5 linked regions of the Callithrix jacchus genome follow. The protein of the gene in region 4 purifies or fractionates together with the protein of the main gene of each other region. This does not show direct contact. Links are inferred from orthologs where the notes say so. Each region holds a gene or a part of one and is shown on either strand. Other genes may lie near its edges.

Region 1 (3,515 bases), on a different chromosome or scaffold from region 4:
GGAGTGCAGTGGTGTGATCTCGGCTTACTAAAACCTCCACCTTCCAGGTTCAAGCAATCCTCCTGCCTCAGCCTCCCAAGTAGCTGGGATTACAGGCATCTGCCACCATGTCTGGCTAAGTTTTGTATTTTTAGTAGAGACGGGGTTTTGACTTGTTGGCCAGACTGGTCTCGAATTCCTGACCTCAGGTGATCCACCCACCTTGGTCTCCCAAAGTGCTGGGATTACAGGTGTGAGCCACTCCTGGCTGATTTTGAAGTGTGAAAATATATACAGCTATTCATGCAAAAACATGTATAAAAGATAATTTAATTTGTAGTGTATTATTACTGTGCATGCTTAGTATTCTTTGGGTACCTCAGCCTCTCTTTGCAGTTGCATTTTGGTAATCAAATCCTTAAGTGATGAAATTATACTGAGGTAAGCTTTTCTCTCTTCTAGCCAAGATTCTGAAGCCTGCTGAATAGAATGGTCCTCTCCATCACTATAGGGCGACTCAGTGAGAGAAAGCACCTGCATGCCTTCATTATGGACAGCTCTCAGTAATCCCTAGAAAACAAAACCCAAAAGCCAGAATTATGACAACTTCTTCACGGACTGAAAAATTAGACATACACAGAGAAATAAATTTTAAGCAAGATATCCTGCAGAGAGAAAACTCCAGCCCAACATTACTGAATACCTTCTTCCTATGGAGGGGTAGGCCGAATCCAGTGGATGGCCTACAACTTTTCATAGCTCTCATCTCTAAGTTCCTTCTGTTTGGCTAACGTACTCTCCCTAGGTTTACTGATAAGCCACTGATTTGACCAAAAGAAATACATGGGATCTAACTTCTACTCTTTGAGATTACTATAAAAATTCTGGCAAATAAAAAGATCAGGAATATGAATTATTAAGAAAACAAGTCTTCATACATATCATCATTAAATCTCTTATCTGTGAAATATGGAAATAAAATAGATCTCTCAGGTTCCTTCCAGGTATGCAATTCTCTCTTCAGAAATGAACCCACCATATAACTTCTAATGAACTGCTATGTTCAACATGGAAACAACACTGGGTAAGGTAATAAAAGGTATCTATGTTTTAATACCTTTATTTTCTTTGGAAAGGAATCTATTGAACTTTCACCTTCTTCTCCTCGGCCTTCTGATGCTGTGTCAAATCCCTGACTGTGTGTAAGATAAATTCCCTGACCCCAGTCCGATCCAGAATCTAAAATAAAAGAAAATCATTTGCTGTTAAAAAAAAAATCAACCCCCAGTCCGCAAAAAACCAGTACTCCTTAAATAAATACTAGAAACATTACAGATATTTATATAACTTACCACTGGAGCATATTTCTCTAGTTTGGTAAGCATCAGAATGTGTTAATTCAGGAATTGAGGATCCCTAATTAGAGGGAAAAAAATACGTTTCTTTGCTTTAATAAAAATAGAATACAATGAATTATTTTGCTGGTTTCTAATGCTGTAAAGAAATCAATCAAATCTGTCACACCTTTCATAATAAATGAAACTATTCATGGTTTTTAACATGTCTATTTTTTCATGAATATTACAATAAGAAGAGACATTCATGAATTAAGTAATGATAACATGTTCCAAATCCATACAGGAACATCGTACATTAACTCTACACAATGAAAACATTTACAACATTGTAAACTAAAAATTATTTAAATTTAAAACAGTTTAAAAACTATTAAAATTGTGATAGTATCATAAGGAAGAGACTGCCCCAAGTTTTTAAAATTTTCTTTTAAAAGCAAACTATTGAAAAACACATATTATAAAAACCAAATACCTCTTTACTTCTCAGACACTGTATCACTGCCTTCAAGGTACCACATTCCTCTGTCAGCAAGTGAACAGCAACATAGTGTTCCCTCTTTAAGGTTTCAGTCTCTGAAATATGTCTAGATTCCATGTCCAAAATTTCAGCAGCATGTAGTTCTTGCATCTGCTCAATTTTTTCAGTAAACTGATTGATTATTTCAGTAACTTCTTCTGAGGAACATTCACTCTGTAAATCAATTTGTATTCCTGCATTTTTAACAAGAATTTGTGGAGTCTGATTGCTGCTATTGACCTTCAGAGTCCCATCTGTCTGGGATGCAATGCTCTTACTCAATTTTATAGGACGTGGCTCGAACATGCAGATCTTTTTGTTTTCTTGTACCTCAATCTCATCTTCTTTTTCTAAAATGGACAATTTCTCTTTTGCCTCTGTAAGGTGATCCCTAACTTGGCTTAAGTCCTTTTGAAGAGATACCATATTTGTTTCTTTTACCTAAAACATAATGAACAGAACGGTAGGGCATTTGGTTAAAATCTTTCCATATTAAGTATAGAATTTAAAGGGGGTAAGAAGAGTGTAATTAATGATTATATGTTCATTTTCCTCAGAGTAGCAGGAAAAACATTTCAGAAACACTCATAGTCTACATATATATTTGTATGTAGGTAGGGTCATAGATTAATATAGAAGTGAAATAATTCTATCAGCTTCTACAGTTCTCTTTAACAACTTTCTACTCTTTCATTAACAGAATGGCAATAAAAAGTATCCTCCTAACAAAGATTTCCAAGAAAATCAAGCAAGAAGATGTTGGTAAAGAAATTTATAACAATGAAAGTTTTCACCAAATCCACAAAAGACTTTTTAATCTAGCTTTTAAGTTACAGAGCTTGATTTATTTTTACAGAAGAGTATATACTTTGAAACGAAACTAAGATAGGTAGAAGTCAGTAAATTAAGGAGCTATGTTACTTATCTTACCAAAAGTTCTTCTTGAAGTTTTTCAGTCTTTTCTTTATAACTGTCAAGTTCTGCTTTGGTAGCCACTGATTCAGCTCTAAGAGCCTCAAGTTCATTAAAAAATCCACTTTCTTCATTGGTATGAAATAGTTTAGCAGTTGTCTGAATGACAGTGGAAAATACAAGAAACACATCATTTAAAAAATACATAGCTAAATTCAAGGCACTTATATATTCTAATAAAACTATCCAAGGAAGTCCAGGCGCGGTGGCTCATGCCTATATTTCCAGCACTTTGGGAGGCCGAGGCGGGTGGATCACGAGGTCAAGAGATTGAGACCATCCTGGTCAACATGGTGAAACCCCGTCTCTGCTAAAAATACAAAAAATTAGCTGGGCATGGTGGCTCGTGCCTGTAATCCCAGCTACTCAGGAGGCTGAGGCAGGAGAATTGCTTGAACCCAGAAGGCGGAGGTTGTGGTGAGTCGAGATTGTGCCATTGCACTCCAGTCTGGGTAACAACAGCGAAACTCTGTCTCGAAAAAAAAACAAAAAAACAAAAAATGATCGAAGGAAATGACTGCCTATAGATAAATGGAGCTGCAACAAATTAATGCTCTTTCCAAAAACAGAGAAGCTTTTTCAGAACCATCATCTTGTATTCTTGAGAAAATGATTTCCTTCTTGAGAAAAGAATGATTTTTCTGGGAATAAAAGGTAAATAATGTCATTCGTGTGCATCCTACAAATTT
Region 2 (4,083 bases), on a different chromosome or scaffold from region 4:
CCTCAGAAAGTGTATGTGTTTGAAAAAAAAAAAAAAGAAAAGAAAGAAGAAAGGAAGAAGTATTAGTAGTTGATCAAGACCATACATTGCCCACAAAGTCTATAACATTTACTATCCGACCTTTACAGGAAAGACTTGCCAACCACTTTGTAGCCTATAATTAAATGCTTTTCAAAGTCAGGTCTCAACACAATTTAAAATAGAAATAATTGATTCAAATAGGAAATATCAAAAAGCACTGCATCTGACATAAGGAGTACCCGTACTATTGCCAAAGTTTCAGTTGTACACATATATGTGCCACAGGGATAATGATCAAATCCTATCTGTTTGCAGTCAAAAAGTTTTAAAGTCCTTGGGGCTGAGGCTGGGGAGTAAATAGAGCAATTGTTTAACAAGGTTAACTTGTTTAAGTCACATTGAGCAATTTTTACAGTAAAGGTGGCTTGGAGACTATAAAATGATCCCTGCTGTTCAGAAGTTAACAGCTTATTTCTTCACTACAAAATGAACATTAAATCTCTTCTGCGCACAATATATTATTTTAATAAGAAAATGGAATCATCAAAGGAAAGTACTTCAAATTTCTTATACAAACAAAAGAGTCTGATTATATTAACAACATATCATACAGAATATATATAAGATCTTTACCAAGTCCCTTAGTTCCTAGTTTTCTTCTGGGAAAAGAGTCTTTTTTTTCCCCTTGGTGTGTGTGCATGAACATGTGTGCATGCATCCAGAGCATAAAAGAAGTATTAGATACCTCTGCCCTTTCTGTAATCCGTTACTGGCTGCTATTTCCTATCTATTTAAAACATGCATTCTTTCATCTTTCTCTTGTTTCTGGTAAGAAAATCATTTGATTTGATTCTTGTGCAAAAACAATTAAGACTATGATTATCCCCTTGGGGAAACATTTAAAAGTCCAAAATTAAAATTGTAAGTAACAAGTTTCACTTTTATCTTCATGCAACATTAATTTCCAGGGTTTCTGAGATTTAGACAAGCTAAAAACACCTTAATTTTATAAACCATTTCAACATGCAATCCCGCAAAGAAAAGAAACATCTTCCTAGGAGCATACACAAGGGAATGAAATGACACTTTTAAAGGTTTTCATTTTATGAAATACACTGCGGACACACAAACCACAAGCAGTGTAAATAAATAAAAGCTGGTGCAATGGTGCATGCATGTTTGCCTTACACCACAAAGAGAAAACACTTGCACATTGCACTCCATGGTATTTTAGCTTGGGTTGCCATAAAAATGGGATTTGGGCATGTTGTGTAAATACAGGGGGGCTGTAAATGAGGGTGTGTGTCTGGGTGTGTTAGGGAAAGAAGGTTGTAAGCAAAAGGGGTGGGACTTGCCAGGAGCAGCTATTTGAGAAAATTCCTTTTTCTTTCCCATTCATTCTTTCTAGCTCTACTGTCTGGCACAGTCCTTACAATTACTCACTGGCTTTTCATTCTAAAGACAATCAACAAGGCTTCAGAACTTCCTACACTGTTTTTTTTCTCATACGCTTTAAAAAAAAATAAAGCACCAAATAATTCAATATGTTCTTTATATAAAAAGCAAACAATTAACCTGTTTCCTCGTTCCAAAGACCCCCGTGGGTTTCAGACTAATAGGATCCTTTGTTACATGTCCAAAAATAACACAACATGGTATTGGTAAATTGGAAAATAACAGACAACTCTTATCTAAGGATGTCAGAGCTATTGGCCATAAATTTTGTTCTGCCCCAGTGAGTCCAATTTCAAGCCTCTTTCAATGATCTACCGTCCTAACAGTAAAGCCAGTCACATTAAACACCGTTCGCCTTTTCTCTTTTGACATTCCATTAATACAAGAGCTGAAAGAAGACGCCAAGTGGGCCAGTTTCTTTATGCACAATGATGGTATCCTCCAAGCGAAATACCTCCAACCACAGCGAAAGTTGTCTTTCTAGCAGATGCCCACCCCAACCGGCCCAGGCAGAGGGGGCAGAAGGGCAGAGGAAAGCGTAACCTCCCAGCTCTCCCACCTCCAGAGGAAGGGAAGAGGGTATGACAAGGGAGCAGAGTAGGAAGGTGGGCGACTGGGAGAGACAGAAATGGATGCTGAGGGGGTGGGCGAGATGGGAAGGTAGGAAAAGGTGGCGAATGCGTGGAGAGGTGGGTGCGCAAAGCAGCAGGATCCGAGAGCACAGTGGGGAGCGGTAGGGGACAGTGAGGGGGTCCGTGGGCGCGGAGAGGGTCCGGTCCTCACCATTGAACGCCCCTGCGTCTGCGGGCGCCGCCTCCTCCTCCTCCCCGTCCTCGGAGTCGGAGTGCATGGGCTCCTCGGCGAAGTTGACCCCCTTGCTGGGGGTGCCGCCCCCGGCAGCGGCGCCCGTGTCCCCCCAGGTCCTGCCCTCATGGCTGAAGCGCGCGGTGCCTTTGCGCTCGTTCTCCTGCTGCAGGCGCGTGAAGTGCTGCAGCGCGAACTCTAGCAGGTCCGCGGGCTGGTGCCTCAGCACCTCTACCGTGAAGCCCTGCAGCAGCTCCGTCAGTCCCGCCGGAATCTCGATGCTCATCCTGCTTCCCCGGCGGCAGGCGCCCGGGCGCCGCCCTCGCCCCCTCCCCGGCCCGGCCTGGGGCCCAGCGGCTGCCTAACGAGTACCAACGGCGCTGGCGGCGCTACCGGCTGCGAGCGCGGCGCACTGGGCCCCGGCGGCCCGGCTGGCCCGGCCCGCGGCTCCTGGCGCGCGGCTGCTCCGTGTGGCGGCGGCGGCTGAGCGAGCGCGGCCCCGGGAAGGCTGGCAGCATCTCCTGCTCCTCCCGGTCCCGCCGCGACCGCGCCTCTCCCCCGCCCGGTCGCCCCGCCCCCGCCCCACCGCGGCGCGCGGGAGGGGGCGCGGGAGAGCGCGCCCACGTGACCCCCGGAAACCATGGCAACCTCCGCCGGCAGGCGCCGCGCACCCGCGGTTCTGACCGCGCCAGGGTGGAATGCGCTGGCGGGCGGCGCGCCGAGGGCTGGGAGGGGAGCCCTCGCGAGGCCGCCTCGGTGTCCACCTGTCCGCGTGTCCGGGAGCTTGCTAGCCACTCGCCCCGCTTCCCACGCAAAGCTGGTGCCAAGCGATTTGTCGTGAAACTTCAGCCTCCACCTTAGTAGTGGCATTTTATTTTCCTTTTAGAATCTAGCTGCATGATAAGTGTTGTTAATGTCCTTTGTTTGAAGGCTTATGGTGGTACTGGTTCTCTTTTGGACAAAGAAATGCTACCCCATCTTTGTGACGTCTTTCTTTTTCTTCCACCACATTTTATCCAGCCTTTCCTCACCCATCCTGTTTATTATCTTTTTGCCTTACTGATGCTATTTCGTTGTGCACTCCATGCATTTACTATTTACTGAGACAAAGGCACCATTTATTGTGAGGCACCTATCGAAATTAGTCGATCTCCTTCAAATAGGATAGTGCTGGGTGAGGCGCTGATTATTTTAAAACTTTATACTTTGAGTGATTTTGACTTCATCTCCAAAAATTGAAACACTTCGGTATCAAGGAAAATAGAATGACGAATGTGTGCTTTTAAAGTAGAAGTTTTTCACTTTGAAATTAGGCTCACTTTGCAAATGTTTACAATTTTGAAGTAGAAAGAATTGACTTTTGTCAATTAAATATTATTTAAGTACGCATACTTCATTTTTTACAATTACCATATCATTGTAAATAAAATAGTTTAAAAGCAAGCTCGCTTGCTTATTCAGATTTATCTTCCCACCCACGGAAGAGTAAACACATGACTGGGGACTAGAAATCAGAGCTGTAACAAACTAGGCCCTTTGGTAAAAATGGATCTTGATGTTAACCTTTTGTTAATGATGCACCCTATATTCACTCCATGAGCCACTGTATTTCTCTATTTTCATTTCTTATCAACTTCATAGTAATAATGTTGTTTTTAAATATATAGTAATAAAGAACTTCTAATTGGGTCAAACTTTTTTTTTTTTTTTTCTTTTTTTGAGACGGAGTTTCGCTCTTGTTACCCAGGCTGGAGTGCAATAGCGCAATCTCGGCTCACCACAACCTCCGCCTCCTGGGTTCAG
Region 3 (3,515 bases), on a different chromosome or scaffold from region 4:
TTATCTGCAAACACAAAAAGGCGCCACTGAGAAGGGCCACCATTTGTTTTTTCCAACCTTATTATATAAATACAGCACTTCAAGAATACAAAAAAGAATGAGATTCGATGTGGCATTTATGATTTTGGCATTCCAATTGTCTTACACACTTTGGGCAGATAAATTTGTCAACATCAAGGCTGCAGATTAAACGTCACTGGGATAAAATGGGTCTGTTTAATTTTCTATTAAACAACAGGCCATGTAAACCTAGTTATTTTGCCTTCACAGAGCAGCAGGTAGAAAGTACAGACAGAGGAAAACACAGGGCCCAGAACTCTGGGAATGGGTGTTGGACTGGCCACAGGCCTTCTACCAACCTAGCCCCAGGAGGCCAGCAGGGCTGTACAGATGGTACCTTGAGGCCCATTCACTCCTGAGGCTGAGGACAGCACCTCTCCTGAGGAATGAAATACACCCAGAGGTACAAGAGACACCGTGGTCAAGAGCACAGTGCTTGAGGCAGAGAGGCCATATTCAAGAGCGGCTTCTCCATTTCCTGACTTCATAACCTTGAGTGAGGAGGCTCTTCACTTCTCCATATGTGTTATTACGGGGATTAACTGAGCTACCAGCTATAAAATGTGTTTCCTCACAGGTGTTATTGTGTGGATTAACTGGTTGCCATCTATAAAAGGTTTACCACAGGTCTTCAGGAGCACTCTGGGGGCTGGAAGCTCCATCAGGCTCAGTTGCCAGCAGTGCTGGTGGTGGTAACAGCTGAGCTGCACCAGCACTACCTGTGCAGGTATGACATTGGGGCCTTGACATGCAGTGCCCTGGTTAATCTTCAGGGCTGACTTCCAAGGCAGGCACTATTATTTTCTGCTTTCCAGATAAGAAACTTCCTTAAGGTCACACGGCCAGTAGGTGGCAGAGCCAGAATTCGGACTCAGGTTTTCTGACTCCATTCTTAACCATGACAAGATAATTTCTAAGCAAGCATTCACCTCTCCCCTCAAGCTCCAGACACGTCATGCTTCCTTCACTTCCCGAAAGGCCTGGTCTCTCTTCATTGCTAACCACCGGGCCTTTGTCTGCTCTCTTCCTTCTATTTAAAGGGCCCTGGCTCCTCTCAATCTTTGGCACCTTCACTAAGCCCTCCTCGACTCCGTTCTCAAGGCAAGCTTTTCCTGAGTCAGGATGCCTTCTCTAGGGTCCTGCAGTTCCCATAGTCTGACTTTATCATGGCAGCGGTTCACACTGGCCTGCCATGATTGTCTGGCTGTCTCTTCCATCCGATTATGAGCTCACTGAAGGAAGGGATGAAATCTCTTTCATTTCTGTATCAGAGTCTACATGGCCCTGAAGTAGAACAGGAGATAGGAAATGTCTGCTGAGTGAATGACTGACTGACTGAAGCCCCAATTTCATCTCTTAAGCCAAAAGGAACATCAATATCCTTTTAGGAAAAGTGGAATAAGCTGGCTCAAGTTCTAGCTGTACCACCTTCTAGCTCTGTGACCACAGGCCGGGCAATTCTCTAAGCCTGTTTCTTACCTGTCAAATAGGGCTAATGATACATTATCCCAGAATTGTTTTCAATAGTGAAAGATAATGTAAGTGAAAGCTTTTTAGGAGCCAAGCTCCAAATAGAAGGAAGTAAGATAATGGATCTTTATAAAAAGTATAGGATAAATCTTGCTGATAGCAGGAATTCTCTTGTGGAGATTTTGGCAGTATTGTGTTTCCAGCCCTTCTTTCCCCCACTGTGAACTAGGAGGAAAGACACGTGGCTATAGAGGGGATGAGTGACAAGCAAATGAAGTAACACACTTACTGAGTCCCTATTAGAGACACTACATCATTCAATTGTCACAACAGCCCTATGAGGTATTCCAGCACCTCTCTGATTCCAGTGTTCTCAGCTACAAAACAGGAACACCTCACAGGGCTACTGTGACAATTAAATGGTGTAAAGCCATCGCAGAGCCACAGAATTCATACTTAGGTTGGTCAGACTCCAATGCCTGCATTCTTTCCATGTCACAGAAGGCTTTGGCATTCCAGGCTTCCAGTGACTCCTTTAATTCTTACCTCTGGATCCTTTAATGAGCATTGCATTGAGGGCCTCGTTCTGCTTCCTCAAGAAATGAATTTCTGATGTTAGAGAACTATGAAGCTCGGAACCAGAAGCAAAAATGTTTGTAGAACCTAAAAAAACACACATGAAGACTGATTTATAAACAGTCTTTAGATCAGCAGAGATGGAACTTTCTAGAAAACAGTTTTAAACAATGAGTTAACACAACATACAATGACAATCGCTTCTGTTAACTATGTAAGAAACTACCAGAGGCCAAAGAGAAATGAGAGTAAGCCTGAAAAAGGGGGCAAGAGGGGCTCCCCCACATCTTACCTAAGGGAGAACAAAGCAGAAGACTTGGACCAGGAGTGGGGTGAGCAAGTGAGAGTCTTCACCTTCACAGATGTCTCTCCCAAGGTCAAAATTTACATATCCAGCTGCCTGCCACACCTCACCACTGAGGCAACTCTGTCACTCAGTCCACAGAGCCAAAGCTGAACTCCTCATCCTTCCAAACCTGCTCTCTCTCACCTGTTTCCTGCCTAATGAGATGGTATCGCCACAATCCCTAACCCAAGCTAGAAAGCTGGGAGCCATCCTAAACCCTTCTCTCTTCCACTGCCCAATCAGGGAATCACAACTGCTGCTGCTTCCTCCAAAATGCTTCCAACACTGACCTACCCTTTTTTCATCCTAAAGTTCAGGCCTTATCACTTTGCTCTCTAACCCTGTCTCCCCGTTATTCTGCCAGTGCTTACAGGTTATTATCCCAAACAAAGTCCATTCAAGTAACTGTCTATTCAGAAACATCTGATGACCCACCATGGCAAAGGACAATCACACAACAAAACGCAAGGGCCATCTTCTTAGTTTAGACACCTCTACTCCACAGATAACATTCAAGTTCACTGCCACCCTCAGGAGAGCACCTACTGTGTGCAAGGTGCCTTCTCTATGTGGCAGGCAGATGCTTCCCTCCATGTCCTCCACACTCATTGGGTCCACTTACTACACCACAGAGCCAAAATGCCAGATTCCTGCTTTCCTAGCCACCCTGCATTGAGGACACGGTCATGTGCCACTTCTGGCCAATGAGGCCTGACAGGAAGTCTGCCGGGGTCTTCTGGGAAAGATTTTCCACCAGCATGAAAAGAGGACAGGAAGGGGCCCCACCTTCTTCTTTCCCATGCTTTGGACACCGTCTAAGAGACTGGGATGATTGTAACTACTGCAGTCATCACAGATAGTAACCCAAACTCTGCTGTCACTGAGCCATAAACCTACCTTGGAACTACCTGCCTCTGGGTTTCTTGTTAGGTGAGAAAACACAATCCCTGTTGTTACCGTCAGTTGCTACTCTCATTCTGTTGCTTGCAGCTGAAAGCATCCTGGCACACAACTGAACACCTATCCTATTCAAACTCGTTGCAGGGGAGGAACGACATCAGTT
Region 4 (3,515 bases):
GGAGCCAGATCTGTGGTTTTTTTTTTTTCTTTCAGATCTGTGTTTTAATCTAGGCCTTCTATTTAACTAAATTTCTGACTCTGGAGATGACTTCAACTCTTTGGGCTTCAGCTTTTCAAAATCTGTAACATGAAGTGGTTGGGTCACTACTGCACACATTTTAACCAGTTACATAACAAATTAGTCCATAATTGTCACAATAAATTACAGTTGTCCATCAGTATCCCTGGGGGTTGGTTCCAGGACCTATGGCAGAAACCAACATGCCCAGGTACTCAACTCACTTATATAAAATGACAGAGGCAGGCTGGGCGCGGTGGCTCACGCCTGTAATCCCAGCACTTTGGGAGGCCTAGGCGGGTGGATCACGAGGTCGAGAGATCGAGACCATCCTGGTCAACATAGTGAAACCCCGTCTCTACTAAGAATACAAAAAAATTAGCTGGGCATGGTGGCACGTGTCTGTAATCCCAGCTACTCAGGAGGCTGAGGCAGGAGAATTGCCTGAACCCAGGAGGCGGAGGTTGAGGTGAGCCGAGATCACACCATTGCACTCCAGCCTGGGTAACAAGAGTGAAAATCCGTCTCAAAAGAAAAAAAAAAAAAAAAATGACAGAGGCTTTGCATAAAACTTATACACATTTTCCATATACTTTAAATCATTTAAATACCTAATATTAGGTATTAAGTATAATACCTAATATGTTGTAAATGCTATGTATACAGTTGTTATACTGTATTGTTTAAGGAATAATAAGAAAAAGAAGTCTGTACGTTAGGTATAGATGTAATTTTTTTCCCCAAATATCTCCAATCTGTGATTGGTTAAATCCATGGATGTAGAACCCATGGATATCGAAGGGCTGGCTGTATATTAACTATGTATCATATAGTTACAATAAATAAGGATAAAAATTAAATGTAATAATAAAATTATTTCAAGGTGTCAATGGTAAATCATTATACTGAATCTGTTTAATAGTCTTGCTGATAAAACTAAAGTTTACCCTAAAGGTAAATAACAACAAATATACTAACCTTCTGCTTATCTAAGATCTTCATGGCATAATACTGTTCAGTGGCTTTGTGTTTTACCAACATGACTCTTCCAAATGAACCTGTTCCAAGGGTTTTTTTCCTTTCAAAATCTTCAAGTCCAGCATTACTCTGCATATAAATATATAAATAAAATTAAAACTTCTCATAAAAACACTATGAGAATTAGAAATGCTTTAATAATACATAATCATAATGGATGATTCAATTTATAACTACCCATTTAAAAGCAATACAAAAGGCTATTGAGATTCCACGTTATTGGTTCTGTTTTTCCCTTTGAACAAGAAAGGATTTAATATCTGAGGAGAGATATTAAATATTTCAGCCTCAGCTGAAATATTAAAGATTGCATGCCAGTATGCACTCCTAGTATTGAAATTTTAATCTTAGTACTGAACTTCTAATAAATCATTTTCATATTTTAATAATTACAAACTGACTAGAGGCATACTGGCAGTCATAGAAGCCATACAGACTTAATGCACTTGCAAATAACTGTAATGAATAGATAAACTAAGGAATCAGAGCCCTTTCACTAAAGTTACCTATGAAGAAATCTGTCTTGCTTCATTTCTGTCTTATATAAGCTTGTAGAACTATATAATAGCAGCATGAGAGAGCCTACTGGCTTTCTCTCTGTATGTTATAATAACACAGTATTATCTAAAACAGTAACAATAAGGAAAGAAGCGTTCCTCCTCCTACAAAGAACCAAAGCCAGAATCCCAGAACAATAATCAGGCTCTTCTTTTCTTGAATAGATGTTTTGTTATAAGGAAACATCTTTGTTTGGCTTTGACTACTAAAAAGAAGCAAATAATTGGAGGCATCAATCTATTAAATTTGTTCCTGCCACAACAAAATAAAAATTATTAGAACAATTTATGTGTTAAACAGCAACAAGTAGTAATTGCTGACCCATTTGTTTAATAGGTTTTCAATGCAAAGAACTCCATGAAAATATTGGAAAAATATTTTGAAGGCCCAGTATGCAGTGTTTAGCTTGAGAAAAATGTGATGCAATATGATTCTTCATCCAGTGAGGAATCTGAATAGGTATTGGAGTTCACTGTAGTTGGACTGTATCTGTATTGCAAATCAAATGTTGCCTTTTGAGACCCATTTTAGCTTCCTGTTGGATCATAATGGAGAGCAAGCAATTCTGTTTTACTTATAACTTGTTTTCATCATATTTTGATTTCACAATTTAAAATTTAAAGTAATTTTTAATTATGAGATTTTTTTAGCAATGCAAAAACTCATAATTCTGATAGAATTAATTTAATTAATCTTTAATTTTAGGTTTTATCAACATAGATGGATTAAAATCTTACCATACTCCCAACTAAATAATTAAAACAAATTTTATTAATAGGCAACAGAAATGCTTTTTGCTCTTTATGGTTTTTTCATTGCTTTTCTTTGTATTATAAAAATGTTATCTTCCTTACTTATTGTTTCATGTTACACAATGTCTACATTTTGTAATCACAATGTTTAATATAATTGTGACTATGTTTTAACTTATAGGTCATACTCTAAATCTTGGTAGTAATGGCATCTTTAAATAACATTTACTTAGAATTCTTTAGTGAGAAAATACTTGAAATATAAACCTTTGAGCTAGAAAGAAAAGACTTTAAAATTTAATTTACTAATACAATTTATTCATTATTTATAACTCTAAAAAGATTATTTTTATAAAGTATAGATGGCTCTTCTTATATATAGTTTTTAGATCCCAGTTAAGATCTAAAAATACTTAAATTATCTAGGACATACCCCATCAAAATGATAAAAAAGATGCCTGTGTACCAGGAATGTTGGTGATAACCAAATTCTCTCTGATTGAGAATTTTAAACTGTACAAAAGAACTCTTATTTTTGTATTTAATAAAAATATTAAGTATGCTATTAAAGGCATAATTCAAAATTAATATATTAGAAAATATTAAAATTTTATAGCAATTGGAATTAGTATCAAAATTTATAATTAGGTATTATACTGGAAATTAGCTCCTTCTACAATTTAGATACATCAAGATTATTAATTAATACATCAAAGTATAACTAGCAAAATTCCCATTTTAGGCTTCTGTTTACTAAGACCACATGAAAATTAAAATTTCTGAAGTAATACATTTCTTAGGCAAGAATCATTATTTTATTAACACAAGACCTTTAAATTGTAGAAAAATCTAAATATTCCTTACCGGAGTTGGATTCTCCCATTTTTTCAAAAAGTCTTCTTTGGCTTTGGCTAGAAACTCTTTCACTGAAAATATACATATAAAAACAAATTTGCCTTGTAAGAATATTTAATTATGTCTTAGAATATTTATATTATATGTTTTCTTGCTTAAGAAAACAATCATGTCATCTATTGTGATTAAAATGTATATTTATCACCATGATACATCAGAGAGCTATTTAGTATCTCTAAGAACTTTCTCAAA
Region 5 (4,006 bases), on a different chromosome or scaffold from region 4:
TGGACAAGTACCGCCATTTTAAGTTTCCCTTGATTAAAAACCGCCTAAATCCAGCCCTAAAAACAGCCTAACGGCTAATATCAGCATGACCATAAACCACAATGACACCTTCAACCAGAAACATTCCAACCCAGAGATAAACCCTTCTCTACCAGAAACATGCCAGCCCGAAGATAACCTCCCCTCTGACCAGAGATATGCCAGCCCTGAGATAAACTCCCCTTGGACCAGACATTCCATCCCCGGCAATAAAACTCTCTTCCACCCAGAAACATTCCATGCCTGCAATAAGCTCTCCCTCCCTAAATCATTGAATGTCTTTAGTCTGTAAGAGAGAACGCTCCTGACCGAAGTCAGCCAGAAGCCCCTCTCAGTTTTATTCTCCAAGATAAACCTGGCTTTGTTAAGAGGCTTTTTGTGTTACTTTCTTCTTTCTTAACTCTTACAGATTCCAACTCCAGGATCAAGAAAGTTTCCTTTCTCATTTCTTCTTCCCTCAAATGCACTAGAAAAGGTCCTTATTTAGGACCTCTGAATTCGTGCTTTCCTTTTCCTGGAATGCTCTACGCTGACTTTTGCATGACTGTTATTCAAATCCCTGCTAAAGGGTCTCCTCTTCAAAAGGGCAGCCCCTTTACTAGCCACTCAATCACCATCTGGTCACTTCTTGTAACTTCTTTGCATACAGCTTAAAACCAACAGATTTTTTCCCCTTCTTTTCACCTTCAGATAAGTTCCCTAGAAGCTACACTATTTGTCGTCATCATTGCTTAATAGACAGCGTGTAGCAGTGTCTGCTGAATGAAGAACAAATGAATGCACCCTTTTCTTCCCTGACCCTCTCCTCCGAACAGGGCCAAACTTAACTCATAATCAGGACACTCTCAAAAATGTCTTTCTCCTTGCCAGGTGTTTGCACTCTTGAAAAATGCTTTCGAGGAGACAGGGCAATCTGACTGGACTGGCCCTTCAGATTTTAGGTGAAAATAATCAGCATAATAGCTTTTCATCTCTGGCTAGGCTTCCCAGTGACTAAAGCTTTACTTTCTGATTTCCGTATCATGTAAAGACATCAGAGTGAGCACTAGGGGCCCTGAGAATCCTGGTGCTACTGGGTGCACTAGGGCCCTGAGAATCTTGGCTGGGATAGGACCGGAGGCCCTGGGCGCTGTGAGTAGTCCTCCCTGGAGATGCTGGGAGAAGGGGCGGAGCCATCAGAAAGGATGGCCCATCCTTGGGCAGTCAGATCTGGTGGGGCTGCCACTTTGGGAAGGGCTTGGGGCTTCGGAAGAAAACAAAACTAGCCTTGTGGCGAAGAAGGAGCCCAGCTAACCCCAGGCGGCAAGACCAAGGGGTCGACGGAAAAGAGACAGAGCCTGAAAGCAAACCTGCGGAGCAAGCCAAGGCCTGGGGACTTGCCAGAGGAAAGGGTTAAGCCGTTTCCAAGGCAACGGACCAGGAAGCGCGCAAGACGTCCGCCGCAGGTTCGTAGGTCAGCCTCGAATTTAAAGCTCCCACGGCTGAGCAGGTCCTGGCCAATGGAAAGGCCGCCTCTAGGTCATGTGACCGGCGGGCCTGCTCCGCTAGCTGCTCCGGAGCACGTGGGGAGGCTTTTTTTCCTGTTCCTTCTTTCCCTTTTTAAACGCCCACCCACTTTTGCGCGGGCTCGCCGCGGGGTTCTTCTCGCGAGAGGCGCGTTTTCCTCTCGCGAGAGTGAGTGGGAGGCGTGGAGAGTAGGCGGTGTTGCGGGCCGGAGCTGCGGCGGCTGCGGCGGCGGCAGCGGCGGCGGAAGCCGAGGGGTGGGCAGGGCGGGACGCGGGGCTGGGAGGGGGGAGGGCTGGGGGCCGGCGCGGGACGGGGCCAGCCTGCTCGCCCGGCTCGCTCTCGGCTCGTTGCGGCCGGTGACATGTCCGTGAGCTGCGGAGGCTGCGGCCCCCAGGTGAGCCGGGCGCCGACTAGCCCGCAGCGAAGGCTGCGCTTAGCTGGGGTGGCGGCGGGTGTGCTGCCAGCATGGATGGAGCGGGCCCGGCTCTGTCGCCGCAACCCCTCCGCCTTTCCGTGGTTCCCCTTCTGGCTTCGGGGCCGCGGGAGAGCTGCGCCTTCGCATGGCGGAGGGAGGAGGGCGGGAGGAGCGCGGCCGAGAGAGGAAGCCCAAGGCACCGGGCCCGTGGTAGAGGGTGGTGCTCGGGCTGGAGAAGCGTCTTCCTGGGGTCCCTGCGGTGGGGATGGAGCTGCCGCCCGTTTTAGTGACAGGCTCTTTTCATCCCCGGGGTGGTCTTCAGAGACGTGTGCGTGGTGCGCGTGCTTAGTGTGTGTTCGTGGTGTGCGCACAGGAGCATTTGCAGCCGGAGGACGACGTTACACTTTGTCCCCGAACAGCATCCTTCACTGTCAGAACCCCGGAGCCCTGGAAGCAGGCGCTGCTCAGATCTTGTGACAGAAACGGAAGGCGTCAAACGGCTCCTCACAGTATTGATATATGGATTCGCTGTCAAATACCCTCCTAGGCTTTTAATGACTTAGCAGCTGGCCACAAAGTACTCCGAATGGATTGGATGTACTGCTATTAATCCAGGCGTCTAAGCCACTTTATTAAGAAAAAAAAAATACGTAGATGTAACCGAAGTATTAAAAAAAATAAATAAATGACAACGACAGTAAAAGCTAACATTTTTTTCTCCTCCCCATATTACCGGCTTACATTTGTTTTCCGCTTTCTCTGTCTTCTAAAACCATATAAAGTTGGATGCGGTTTAGCTTTAGATGTTACGGAGTTTCATGTTGAGAAAGAGTGCTGAGACACGTATCTAATAGCTTTAGTACAAACCATAGTTAATTGCTGTTCTCTTTTCAGCTTTCAATGGCTTGCAAAATGCTTGTTTTGCTTAGCTCTTCCCACTTTTTTAGAAATGTTATGTTGTGATTTCATTATGTTTGAAAATACTCAAAACATAGAGTACTAAGAAAAATGGGGTACTCAGTAATGCAAAGATAGTATTTTTATGTCATGATTTTAGAATGGCAGCCCAGTGCCTAGCATGATTGGTGTCAGTTAAAATAGTCCAGTTTAATGATTTTTTTTTAAACACACAGTTTTTTCAAATGGTACCTTGATTATTCATTTTGTTGTTGTTGTTTCTTCTGACAAAATTGTGACCCGGGGTGAACAGTGAATGTCACCATTAATTGTAGCTGTACCAGTAGTTTATGAAAGGTCAAAGAATGTAAGGGAATCGGGGAAGAAGTGGGCTCCCACGCTGGCCTAGTGACTAGTGTATGTGCCTGCATAATGGCACTGTGGATAAGATTGAAGACAGCCCAGCAGTGTACCCTAGGCCAGTGATACTTTGCAGTTGTTGAGGATATAGTAAGTTGCCTAAGACATGGAACCCCAATGAGAAATTCTCTAGCCTTCTGTAGCCCCCTGAAATCCAAGGGTAAGTCTAGAAGCTAGAGAAGTCCTCTTTTGCCTTTAGAGGCTGGAAAAATGAGGAACTTTTAATTTTTTAATTTTAGGAACTTACTGTCTGGAAAAGGAGCTCAAACCAATTTGGACAGTATACGAAAGGCCGTTGTAGAGAAATGGCCGGTTATAAATAGGTAGAAGAAGTCTGTCTGTTCTTAACAAAAATGTGAAAGACAGAAGATCTCTCATTGTGAATTGGCAAAGGATACCACTGTTGATTAGAAGAAATTTCTTCTCTTTCCATCTTAGCAAACTAATTTTCAGAAATAGAAAAATAATGTTTTTGGCTTGTCTTCATAACTTTTTGGCAAAGGTTTCAAACATTTAGCATGTGTATTTGGTTTTTCAAAAGTAATTCTAACTTTTGATAGGGTAACTGTTTTTATTCTGTTTTTCTTTTTTCTGTCTTGTTTGCATTTTTACTAATCAACTACTTGGAAGGATTGAAGGGTGAGGACAGATGAATAAAGATCTAAGTTTAGCCTGGGCGTGAGTTAAGGGTCAATAAGCTGGTAATATGGGGAAGAGAAAGAAAAATGC

The links.
Region 1: the proteins of PRKACB (region 4) and AKAP9 purify together in Homo sapiens (affinity purification with mass spectrometry; 5 studies listed by BioGRID and IntAct, counting the BioPlex papers as one, with this or other methods). This does not show direct contact. The link is inferred for Callithrix jacchus from reciprocal best matches to the Homo sapiens genes PRKACB and AKAP9.
Region 2: the proteins of PRKACB (region 4) and PRKAR2B purify together in Homo sapiens (affinity purification with mass spectrometry; 7 studies listed by BioGRID and IntAct, counting the BioPlex papers as one, with this or other methods). This does not show direct contact. The link is inferred for Callithrix jacchus from reciprocal best matches to the Homo sapiens genes PRKACB and PRKAR2B.
Region 3: the proteins of PRKACB (region 4) and CDK5RAP2 purify together in Homo sapiens (affinity purification with mass spectrometry; 4 studies listed by BioGRID and IntAct, counting the BioPlex papers as one, with this or other methods). This does not show direct contact. The link is inferred for Callithrix jacchus from reciprocal best matches to the Homo sapiens genes PRKACB and CDK5RAP2.
Region 5: the proteins of PRKACB (region 4) and AKAP11 purify together in Homo sapiens (affinity purification with mass spectrometry; 5 studies listed by BioGRID and IntAct, counting the BioPlex papers as one, with this or other methods). This does not show direct contact. The link is inferred for Callithrix jacchus from reciprocal best matches to the Homo sapiens genes PRKACB and AKAP11.

The regions. Positions count from the first base shown.
Region 1 is NC_133512.1:57,539,990-57,543,504, forward strand, and holds part of AKAP9 (A-kinase anchor protein 9), read right to left. Parts: intron 2,926-3,515; coding exon 2,785-2,925; intron 2,296-2,784; coding exon 1,810-2,295; intron 1,396-1,809; coding exon 1,332-1,395; intron 1,219-1,331; coding exon 1,097-1,218; intron 550-1,096; coding exon 358-549; intron 1-357. UniProt on the Homo sapiens protein: Scaffolding protein that assembles several protein kinases and phosphatases on the centrosome and Golgi apparatus. Required to maintain the integrity of the Golgi apparatus. Required for microtubule nucleation at the cis-side of the Golgi apparatus.
Region 2 is NC_133512.1:77,495,521-77,499,603, reverse strand, and holds the start of PRKAR2B (cAMP-dependent protein kinase type II-beta regulatory subunit), read right to left. Parts: upstream 2,804-4,083; 5' UTR 2,567-2,803; coding exon 2,260-2,566; intron 1-2,259. UniProt on the Homo sapiens protein: Regulatory subunit of the cAMP-dependent protein kinases involved in cAMP signaling in cells. Type II regulatory chains mediate membrane association by binding to anchoring proteins, including the MAP2 kinase.
Region 3 is NC_133502.1:168,803,403-168,806,917, forward strand, and holds part of CDK5RAP2 (CDK5 regulatory subunit-associated protein 2), read right to left. Parts: intron 2,194-3,515; coding exon 2,077-2,193; intron 5-2,076; coding exon 1-4. UniProt on the Homo sapiens protein: Potential regulator of CDK5 activity via its interaction with CDK5R1. Negative regulator of centriole disengagement (licensing) which maintains centriole engagement and cohesion. Involved in regulation of mitotic spindle orientation.
Region 4 is NC_133508.1:121,402,533-121,406,047, reverse strand, and holds part of PRKACB (cAMP-dependent protein kinase catalytic subunit beta), read right to left. Parts: intron 3,335-3,515; coding exon 3,273-3,334; intron 1,168-3,272; coding exon 1,039-1,167; intron 1-1,038. UniProt on the Homo sapiens protein: Mediates cAMP-dependent signaling triggered by receptor binding to GPCRs.
Region 5 is NC_133506.1:161,378,243-161,382,248, forward strand, and holds the start of AKAP11 (A-kinase anchor protein 11), read left to right. Parts: upstream 1-1,196; 5' UTR 1,197-1,484; exon of another isoform or gene 1,485-1,495; intron 1,496-1,707; exon of another isoform or gene 1,708-1,939; intron 1,940-4,006. UniProt on the Homo sapiens protein: Binds to type II regulatory subunits of protein kinase A and anchors/targets them.